Linked DNA regions of Macaca mulatta. The protein of the gene in region 2 interacts with the protein of the main gene of each other region in a pairwise test. Links are inferred from orthologs where the notes say so. Each region holds a gene or a part of one and is shown on either strand. Other genes may lie near its edges.

What was found.
Region 1: the proteins of TNIK (region 2) and AKAP9 interact in a two-hybrid assay, tested with the Homo sapiens proteins (2 studies listed by BioGRID and IntAct). The link is inferred for Macaca mulatta from reciprocal best matches to the Homo sapiens genes TNIK and AKAP9.
Region 3: the proteins of TNIK (region 2) and CLU interact in a two-hybrid assay, tested with the Homo sapiens proteins (2 studies listed by BioGRID and IntAct). The link is inferred for Macaca mulatta from reciprocal best matches to the Homo sapiens genes TNIK and CLU.

Annotation. Positions count from the first base shown.
Region 1 is NC_133408.1:127,374,402-127,377,918, reverse strand, and holds part of AKAP9 (A-kinase anchor protein 9), read left to right. Parts: intron 1-811; coding exon 812-3,199; intron 3,200-3,517. UniProt on the Homo sapiens protein: Scaffolding protein that assembles several protein kinases and phosphatases on the centrosome and Golgi apparatus. Required to maintain the integrity of the Golgi apparatus. Required for microtubule nucleation at the cis-side of the Golgi apparatus.
Region 2 is NC_133407.1:82,747,728-82,751,244, forward strand, and holds part of TNIK (TRAF2 and NCK-interacting protein kinase), read right to left. Parts: intron 232-3,517; coding exon 131-231; intron 1-130. UniProt on the Homo sapiens protein: Serine/threonine kinase that acts as an essential activator of the Wnt signaling pathway. Recruited to promoters of Wnt target genes and required to activate their expression. May act by phosphorylating TCF4/TCF7L2.
Region 3 is NC_133413.1:29,347,301-29,350,817, forward strand, and holds part of CLU (clusterin precursor), read right to left. Parts: intron 1,358-3,517; coding exon 1,187-1,357; intron 169-1,186; coding exon 1-168.

The DNA of each region.
Region 1 (3,517 bases), on a different chromosome or scaffold from region 2:
TGAAGCAAAACTTTGACCGAGGGCCTCTGCTTGACTTTGTCATGCTGAAGTAATCACAATAACAAATATGCCTTGGCCTGTGTCTGCGCTTAGCCTTGTCTCCGTTCCAGAATAGAATCCCAAATAAGAACTGGGGGAGAGTATCTGCTTTGCTTTCAAAATTCTGTTTAAACCAAAAGTTTAGGACCAAGTTGATATGCCATAAATGGTATAGTTGTCTTAGATGTCACTTGAGGTTCAACCTTTTAAGCATTGCATATCTCTAAATTTCTGACTGACTTAAGAGCCCAGGACTGAAGTTAAGACAGACCATTAGGAATCTGTTTTTGTTGTTTTTCTTTTCCATAGCCCTTGCCCATGACACACATTGAAGTCACCAGAATACATGTGAGGAACTTTGATTTGTTTTTATCTTTCTGAATGTGTTTAGAGTATATGCAGTACTTTAGCTATAGAGAATACTAAATATTTAGAATGTTGATCAGTTATTAAGAAAAATGAGAATATAACAGTTTGGAGACATCTAAAATCAGACTGGGTTTTTAAACTAAAACTTTTAATCACAGAAATGTTAAGAGAAATTTCTTCTAAGAAGGCCATAACTACTGTAGTGTTTGCTCACAAGTAGTGTTGGGTACACGAGTTCTAGGTCTCATTATTGTGGAAAAAATTGAGGGGCAGGACCAACATTTACTTTTTGTAGAATTTTTTAAAAAGGAAACTTCTATCAATCTTTTGGTAATGAGATGAAGCGGTATAATTTGCCAGAATCTAAAAATGCCATCTTACATTTTCATTTTTTTCCCTAAAGGAACAAGATAAAAAAGTAGAAAACTCAAATAAAGAAGAAATACAGGAAAAGGAGACAATCATTGAAGAATTAAACACAAAAATAATAGAAGAAGAAAAGAAAACTCTTGAGCTAAAGGATAAATTAACAGCTGCTGATAAATTACTAGGAGAATTACAAGAACAGGTTGTGCAAAAGAACCAAGAAATAAAAAATATGAAATTAGAGCTGACTAATTCTAAGCAAAAAGAAAGACAATCTTCTGAAGAAATAAAACAGTTAATGGGGACAGTCGAAGAACTTCAGAAGAGAAATCATAAAGACAGCCAGTTCGAAACTGATATAGTACAACGAATGGAACAAGAAACACAAAGAAAGTTAGAACAACTCCGAGCAGAGCTGGATGAGATGTATGGGCAGCAGATAGTGCAAATGAAACAAGAATTAATAAGACAACACGTGTCACAGATGGAGGAACTTAAAACACGGCATAAGGGAGAAATGGAGAATGCTTTAAGGTCATATCCAAATATTACAGTTAATGAAGATCAGATAAAGTTAATGAATGTGGCAATAAATGAACTGAATATAAAATTGCAAGATACTAACTCTCAAAAGGAAAAACTCAAGGAAGAACTAGGAGTAATTTTAGAAGAAAAGTGTGCTCTGCAGAGACAGCTTGAAGACCTTTTTGAAGAATTGAGCTTTTCAAGGGAACAAATTCAGAGAGCTAGACAGACAATAGCTGAACAAGAAAGTAAACTGAATGAAGCACAAAAGTCCCTTAGTACAGTGGAAGATTTGAAAGCTGAGATTGTTTCTGCATCTGAATCCCGAAAGGAACTAGAATTAAAACATGAAGCAGAAGTTACAAATTATAAGATAAAACTTGAAATGTTAGAAAAAGAAAAGAATGCTGTGTTAGACAGAATGGCTGAATCACAAGAAGCTGAATTAGAGAGGCTGAGAACACAGCTTCTATTTAGTCATGAAGAAGAACTTTCCAAATTGAAGGAAGATTTAGAAATTGAACATCAAATAAATATTGAAAAACTTAAAGATAATTTAGGCATTCACTATAAACAGCAGATAGATGGTTTACAGAATGAAATGAGTCAAAAGATAGAAACCATGCAGTTTGAAAAAGACAATTTGATAACTAAGCAGAATCAATTAATTTTGGAAATTTCGAAGCTAAAAGATTTACAGCAGTCTCTTGTAAATTCAAAGTCAGAAGAAATGACTCTTCAAATCAATGAACTTCAAAAAGAAATTGAAATACTCAGACAAGAAGAAAAGGAAAAGGGTACACTTGAACAAGAAGTTCAAGAATTACAACTTAAAATAGAACTATTAGAAAAACAGATGAAGGAAAAAGAGAATGATCTTCAAGAAAAATTCACACAACTTGAAGCAGAGAATAGCATTCTTAAAGATGAAAAGAAAGCTCTTGAAGACATGTTGAAAATACATACTCCGGATAACCAAGAAGAAAGATTGATTTTCATAGACTCCATTAAGTCCAAATCCAAAGACTCTGTCTGGGAAAAAGAAATAGAAATACTTACAGAGGAAAATGAGGACCTCAAACAGCAATGTATTCAGCTAAATGAAGAGATTGAAAAGCAAAGGAACACTTTTTCATTTGCGGAAAAAAACTTTGAAGTTAACTATCAAGAGTTACAAGAGGAATATGCTTGCCTTCTCAAAGTAAAAGATGATTTAGAAGACAGTAAAAATAAACAGGAATTAGAGTATAAAAGTAAGCTTAAAGCACTTAATGAAGAGCTTCATTTGCAAAGAATAAATCCAACTACAGTGAAAACGAAAAGTTCTGTCTTTGATGAAGACAAAACTTTTGTAGCAGAAACATTGGAAATGGGTGAGGTTGTTGAGAAGGATACAACAGAACTCATGGAAAAACTTGAGGTAACCAAGCGAGAGAAATTAGAGCTGTCACAGAGACTAGCTGATCTTTCTGAACAATTGAAACAGAAACATGGTGAGATTAGTTTTCTAAATGAAGAAGTTAAATCTTTAAAGCAAGAGAAAGAACAAGTTTTATTGAGATGTAGAGAGCTAGAAATCATTATTAACCACAACAGGGCAGAAAATGTACAGTCATGTGATACTCAAGTAAGCTCCTTATCAGATGGAGTTGTGACTATGACAAGCAGGGATGCTGAAGGATCAGTTTCTAAAGTAAATAAAAGTTTTGGTGAAGAATCAAAAATAATGGTGGAAGATAAAGTTTCTTTTGAAAATATGACTACTGGAAAAGAAAGTAAGCAAGAACAGTTGATTTTGGATCACTTACCATCTGTAACAAAGGAATCATCACTTAGAGCAGCTCAACCAAGTGAAAATGATAAACTTCAGAAAGAACTCAATGTACTTAAATCAGAACAGGTATGTTTACTTATTTACATATGGTAAAGCACAATGAAAATGTACGTTTCGGCCAGGCGCAGTGGCTCACGCCTGTAATCGTAGCACTTTGGGAGGCCAAGGCTGGCGGATCACAAGGTCAGGAGATCAAGACCATCCTGGCTAACATGGTGAAACCCTGTCTCTACTAAAAACACAAAAAATTAGCTGGGCATGGTGGCGGGTGCCTGTAGTCCCAGCTGCTGGGGAGACTGAGGCAGGAAAATGGCGTGAACCCAGGAGGCAGAGCTTGCAGTGAGCCAAGATCGTGCCACTGTGCTCTAGCCTGGACAAGAGAGT
Region 2 (3,517 bases):
TAAAACCAAGAGTACCTACACTTATTATCTATATGAAAATTGGTATTGGTCTATATGGACTATTTTATTAATGGGTAGAAACTGAAAATTTTTAAAAAGCACATTTTTAGATAATCACATGCCTGCTTACCTTAAATGCCATGAATTTATGATATGGTTTAGGAGCCCAAGCATATATTTCCACAGCATTCTTTAAGGCAATCACCAAAAATTTGATCCTTTCATATTTAACTGTAATAGAAAAATTATGAGTTAAGAAGTACATCAGGTTATTCAAGTTCTTTGTATTAATAATGAATGTATAAGCAACAATATGTAAATTTAAATATTGATGTTGGGTGTCAGCTTCATGAAGGTGATGTTCCTGGTGTGGGATTTTTTTGTCATAGATACTGATTTAGCTTCCCTTAGCGAACTTTGGTTGGCAGAACACTTATGGCCTTTGCTTTATATTGAAGACTCTCTTCATCATCCAGAGATATAACTGCTTAGGACTGTCTTTAACACTAGGTCTAGATGTTGATATTCATTGTAATAAGAATGCATAATTTCCTTCATGTTAGCTTGCCTGGCATTTACATTCACCCACACATAAGTAGCTGACAGCAGATATGGCAAGATGGTAGAAAAATCAGAAAATGGGCAGACATAAAGGCTGCCATTTGCTTATTATTTATATTTGAATTCCAGTTACTAAGTGAAATAATTGCTTGTTTATGCTTCTAATGAAAGGGGGTGTTAGGAGCCTTGGGTTCTGTTAATGACTTAAAGGGCTCCGAATACTGACAAATCCTTTTACTCTTTAGACAGATGGAATATTAAGCATTGTAAATTCTATGGACAGAAACTTAGTTCAATGATTGAGTCTCCACATGCTTTTGCCTCCACAAAGTAGTACTCAGTAAATGCTTACTGAATGGATGAATGGAAGAACGGACTGTTGTCTGGCATTCTCTTCATTACTCTTACCTGTGTGTGTGTGTCTCTGATATAATAAGCAATATTTACAGTGATGACCTTGAGAGATTGAACAATCCTTTAAGCGCCTTCTGAATCTTTGCTATTAAGTGTGGATTCTAATTCTTAGAGAATTCGTAATCCACAATTGGTACACATGGCAATCAATTTCTTTGTAAAATATCTCAACAGACAGAATATTCTGAGTCCTAAAGAAACTAGGTAGGAAAAATTTTAATATACTTAAATGACATTAAGTTTCCAGTTATTTGCTTTATAACTTTTCATGACATAAAGTGTTTATTAGACTATTTTTGCTCATCTCTTCACCTGAACCCTAGGAAAAGATCCATAGCAGTTGGCATTGAAGGAACATATTTCAAAATAATAAGAGCTATGTATGACAAACCCACAGCCAACATCATACTGAATGGGAAAAAGCTAAGAGCATTCCCCCTAAGAACTGGAACAAGACAAGAATTTCCACTCTTACCACTCCTATAGTATTGGAAGTCCCAGCCAGAACTGTCAGGCAAGAGAAAAAAACAAAAAGCATCCAAACTGGAAAAGAGGAAGTGAAATTATCTCTGCTGATGACAGGATCTTATGCCTAGAAAACCCTAAATATTCCTCCAAAAGACTCCTGGAGCCGATAAGTTCAGTAAAGTTTCAGGATACAAAATTAATGCACAAAAATCAGTTACATCAATAATGCTCAAGCCGAGAATCAAATCAAGAGTTCAATCCCATTTATAATAACACACACACACACACACACACACACACACACCTCACACACACCCCTAGGATAATACATTTAACCAAGGAGGTGAAAGACCCCTACAAGGAGAACTACAAAGCACTGATGAGGGAACCATAGATGACACAAATGAATGGAAAAACATCCCATGCTCATGGATAACAAGAATCAATACTGTTAAAGTGACTATACTGCCAAAAGCAGTCTACAAATTGCCAATGTCATTTTTTACAGAATTAGAAAAGACAATTCTAAAATTCATATGGAACCAAAAAGGAGCCCAAATTGCCAAAGCAATCCTAAGCTAAAAGAACAAAGTTGGAGGCATCACATTACCTGACATCAAACTATACTGTAAGACTGTAATAACCAAAGAAGCATGGCACTGATACAAAAATAGACATATAGATCAATGGAACAGAATAGAGAACCCAGAAATAAAGCCACATACCTACAACAAACTGATGTTCGACAAAGTCAACAAACATAAACAATGAGGAAAGGACACCCTGGGAAAGTTGGCTAGCCATATGCAGAAGAATGAAACTAGAACTTTATCCCTTACCATATACAAAAATGAATGCACAATGGATTAAAGACTTAAATGTACCCAAAACTATAATAAGAAAATCTAGGAAAAACTCTTCTGGATATTGGCCTAGGCAACATGTTTATGACTAACACCTCAAAAGCAAATGCAACAAAAACAAAAACAGACAAATGGGACTTAATTAAGCTAATGAGCTCCTGCGTGGCAAAATAAACAATCAACAGAGTAAGCAGACAGCCTACATGATGGGAGAAAATATTTGCAAACTATACATCCAACAGATTCTACAAGGAATGCAAACAATTCAACAAGAAAAAATCAATCCTATTAAAAAGGGGGCAAAGGACATGAACACACATTTCTCAAAAGAGGCAGTCAACCAACAGATGAACAAATGCTCAATATCACTAAACATCAGAGAAATGCAAATCAAAACCACAATGAGATACCAACTCACACCAGTCAGAATGGCTATTACTAAAAGGTCAGAAAAAGTAACAGATGGTGGTGAGGCTGCAGAGAGAAGGGAATGCTTATACACTGTTGGTAGGAATGTAAGTTAGTTCAATCTCTTTGGGAAACAGTATGGAAATTTCTCAAAGAACTAAAAATAGAACTACCATTCTACCTAGCAGCTCCACTTCTGGGTAAATCCTAAAGGAAAATAACTTTTTCTTTTCTTTTTTTTTTTTTAATCAAAAGGGCACCTGCATTTGTATGTTTATTGCAGCACTGTTCACAACAGCAAGGTCATGGTATCAATCTAAGTTGTCCGTTAATGTTTGATTAGATAAAGAAACTGTGTTATATATACAGCATGGAATACTACGCAGCCATAAAAAAAATGAAATTGTGCCCTTGGCAGCAACATGGATGGAGCTAGGCCAATCTCCTAGAGTAAAATAACCCAGAAACAGAAAGTCAAATAACACATGTTCTCACTTATAAGTGGGAGCTAAAAATGGGGTGCACGTGGAAACAAAGCTGGAAATAATAGACACTGAGGACTCTTAAAAGGGGAGTGGCAGGTTAAGGGCTGAAAATTTACCTGTTGGGTATAATGTTCGCAATTTGGATGATGAGTTCACTGGAAGCCTGAGCCTCACCATTATGCAAACTACCCATGAAACAAACCTGCATATGTACCCCCTGGACCTAAAATACATTTTAAAAAGAAAAGAAAAAAAATCCCTTCAGATTTTGCTTATTTTCAGGGTGAAAGAAGAAATAAATAGGTTCATATTTTTAAA
Region 3 (3,517 bases), on a different chromosome or scaffold from region 2:
GAACCTGTCCTGGAAGAGCTCGTCCATGATGCTGGATGCGCGGCTGAAGCGGTCCTGCATGACATCCATCATGTGTGTCTGCTGCCGGTCGTTCTCCAGCAGGGAGTCTATGCGGTCGCCGTTTATCCAGAAGTAGAAGGGTGAGCTCTGGTTCAGGAACTCCTCGAGCTGGGACAGCCAGCATGGGCACAATTAGGAGAAGCTCACCAAGGCCATGGCCTTCTGGCCTCCCACTCCCTCGGGAGCCAGGCCAGGCCCTGCCCATGGCTGTAACAGTCACACAGCAAGTGACCAACAGCCCAGCGGGACCAGCCCCCAGCACCCCAACTGTCAGGTCCACGCCCTTTCCTTTTACCTCCCTCCATGGGGGACAGTTTTGAGACACCTGGGAGGCCATAAGAGTCACAAGGCCCAACATTTCAGGTTCATCCACGGTCATCTTTGGCCACCAATGATATCCACCCCCTGCTCAGCTAAGGGCCAACTGATGTGACTTCAGGGACTGGAGCAATTCACTGAGTCCCAATCAAAAAAGCCCTGCAGCAGAGGACAGGAGCAATACTAATACACTAAAAAAATCTTACATTGGCTGGGCACAGTGGCACACATCTGTAATCCCAACAATTTGGGAGGCTGAGGTAGGAGGATTACTTGAGCTTAGGAGTTTGAGACCAGCCGGGGCAACTTGGCCAAACCCCATGTTTACAAAAAAAATACAAAACTTAGCTGGGTATGGTGGTGTGTGCCTCTGGTCCCAGCTACTTAGGAGGCTGAGGTGGGAGGATCACCTGAACCCAGGAGGTCAAAGCTGCAGTGAAACATGATCACACCACTGCACCCCAGCCTGGGTGACAGAGTGAGACCCTGTCTCAAAAAAAAAAAAAAAATTCTTAAATCCTTCCACATAAGTGGACACAGGGCTCTGCCATCCCACAAAGTGGTTATGTCATCCAGCTAAGCACTGCTGCATGAGTTTTCTAAGAGAAGGTAGATACCTGGCCTACATCCTTTTGATGACTCCACTCTCACTACTCATGCCAGACATCACCAATGGAGCATGGCACTCTGGGACCCAATGCAGCCAGCCAATACTAATCAATTGCATCTGGCATGTGGAATGAAGCATATTTCACTAGGCTCCCGTCCTTCCCCACTCAGCCTTGGCCACTGATGTGTCCCTTTTCACCTGGCGGCCAACCAGGCCCGAGCCACTTCTGCAGACGCGTGCGTAGAACTTCATGCAGGTCTGTTTCAGGCAGGGCTTACACTCTTCCCAGAGGGCCATCATGGTCTCATTGCACACTCCTGGGAACTCCTTCAGCTTTGTCTCTGATTCCCTGGTCTCATTTAGGGCATCCTACAGGAAGACACGAGGCTGGCTGAGCCACACAGAGACCACAGGCTCACACACTCAAGGAGGTGCTGGGTGCCAGGCCCTCTGCCCAGGGCAGGCCTTCCCACAGGATGGCCACCCAGCATGCAAGTGTGCACCCCTGCTCCAGTTCAGGCTTCCCTTCATTCACCCACCTGGAATCCCCTTCCCACCGGCTTGAAGAATCCACTCACCCTTTAAGATCCAACTGTTCCCTAACTCCTAGAAGCTTCCCAGCTCCTGGAACCCATGTGGACAGCACCTCTCTCCGATTTAGTGCGCTGATCATCTACTCAGTGACTACCCTCTCACTGAAGCCTCATTTTCTATTCTCTGCTTCTGGTATTTAAATTTCATCTTCCAAAGCAGGCTGCAGACTCCCTGAATCTTATCTTTCTATTGCAACCATGCCCCCTGGCATGCAAAGGGAATGGCAGGCTTTCAACACCAAAGCCACACCAGCTGTCAAAATTCTCTAATGGGTCCTTGCCATTTGACCCAATAATTCTCTAAGAATCTATCTCAGGCCAGGTGCAGCGGCTCACACCTGTAATCCCAGCACTTTGGGAGGCCAAGGCGGGCATATTACTTGAGGTCAGAAGTTCGAGACCAGCCTGGCCAACATGGTGAAACCCCGTCTCTACTAAAAATACAAAAATTAGCTGGTGTGGTGGTGCGCACCTGCACTCCCAGCTACTTGGGATGCTGAGGCAGGAGAATCGCTTGAACCCGCAAGGCGGAGGTTGCAGTGAACCGAGATCAAACCACTACACTCCAGCCTGGGTGACAGAGCGAGACTCTGTCTCAAAAAACAAAACAAAACAAAACAAAGACTCTATCTCAAAGGAATCCCCTGACAAAGAAAAAGATGCTTAAAAATATTCGGTACAGTATTAACTTATGGCAAAAAAAATAAAATCAGAATCAACCCAGATGCTTAAAAGAGACAGGTTAAACAAACTGTGGTTCCTACAAAGAGTAAATGGTACATCATTACAAAGGATGTTTATAGTCCATTTTGAATATTATCATATGTACTGTTTATGTGAAAAATTCATAATTTTGTGCATAGCCACTGTCAAAAAAGCACAGAGGAAAAGAATAGGAAGAAATAGATCAAATGTTAACAGTGACTTGTCCTTGGGCAAAAGGATTATGGAAAAACTTTTCCTCTTCTACTTTTCTATATTAAAGTCTCTATAAATAAGTGTGTTAGTCTTCAAAAAAAAATTAGCCTATCCACACCCCAGAGTTACGTGAGGTCTTTGTCCTGCTCCATCATCCCCTGTTCCCTGCTGGGCAAAGACAGCCCACCTCCCTCTGAGCCAAGACACAAGTGCCACCCATGCTGCCTACTTCCTTTCCTTCTGGCTCACCTACTCCTCAACTAAGAAGTAGCTCTTAGTTGTAGCTCTTTGAGACACGCTCTTTTCTCCAAATGTGATGTGCTTTATTATAAAACCAGAATTGTTGAAGGTCAAACTCCAGTGATAACCACAAAAGTGTGAGCATGAGACATGCTCCTTCCCCAGGAGCTATTTGAGGATTCTCACAGAATGGTGAGAACTGGCCTGTTAATCCCAGCACTGTGGGAGGCCAAGGCAGGCAGACCAAGAGGCCAAAGTTAAGAGTTCGAGACCAGCCTGGCCAATATGGTGAAACCCCACCTCTACTAAAAACACAAAAAATTAGCTGGGTGTGGTGGCGCGTGCCTGTAATCCCAGCTACTCAGGAGGCTGAGGCGGGGAATCACTTGAACCCTGGAGGTGGAGGTTGCAGTGAGCTGAGATTGTGCCATTGCACTCCAGCCTGGGCAACAGAGCAAGACTCCATCTCAAAAAAAAGAAAAAAAAAAAAAAAAGAACGGTGAGAACTGATACTGAGGCCAAGAAAGGGCATGAAGCTTGAAAAAAAGGTAGAGCTGCATCCAGGCCAGCATTCCCTGAAGTGGCTTCCATGGAGCTGTGCTCAAAGCAGCCAGAAAAAAAAAAAAAAAAATGAATTCCCTGGTCAATTTGGAAAACTCTGGGTTTCATGGAGTTACACAGGTTTCTTTACTGCACAACATCTCAGAGCCTTTGAAATGCTTTTAACATGCATGATGGATCATGAAGCTGGCAGGTAGCTACATCTTAGCATCTGAAG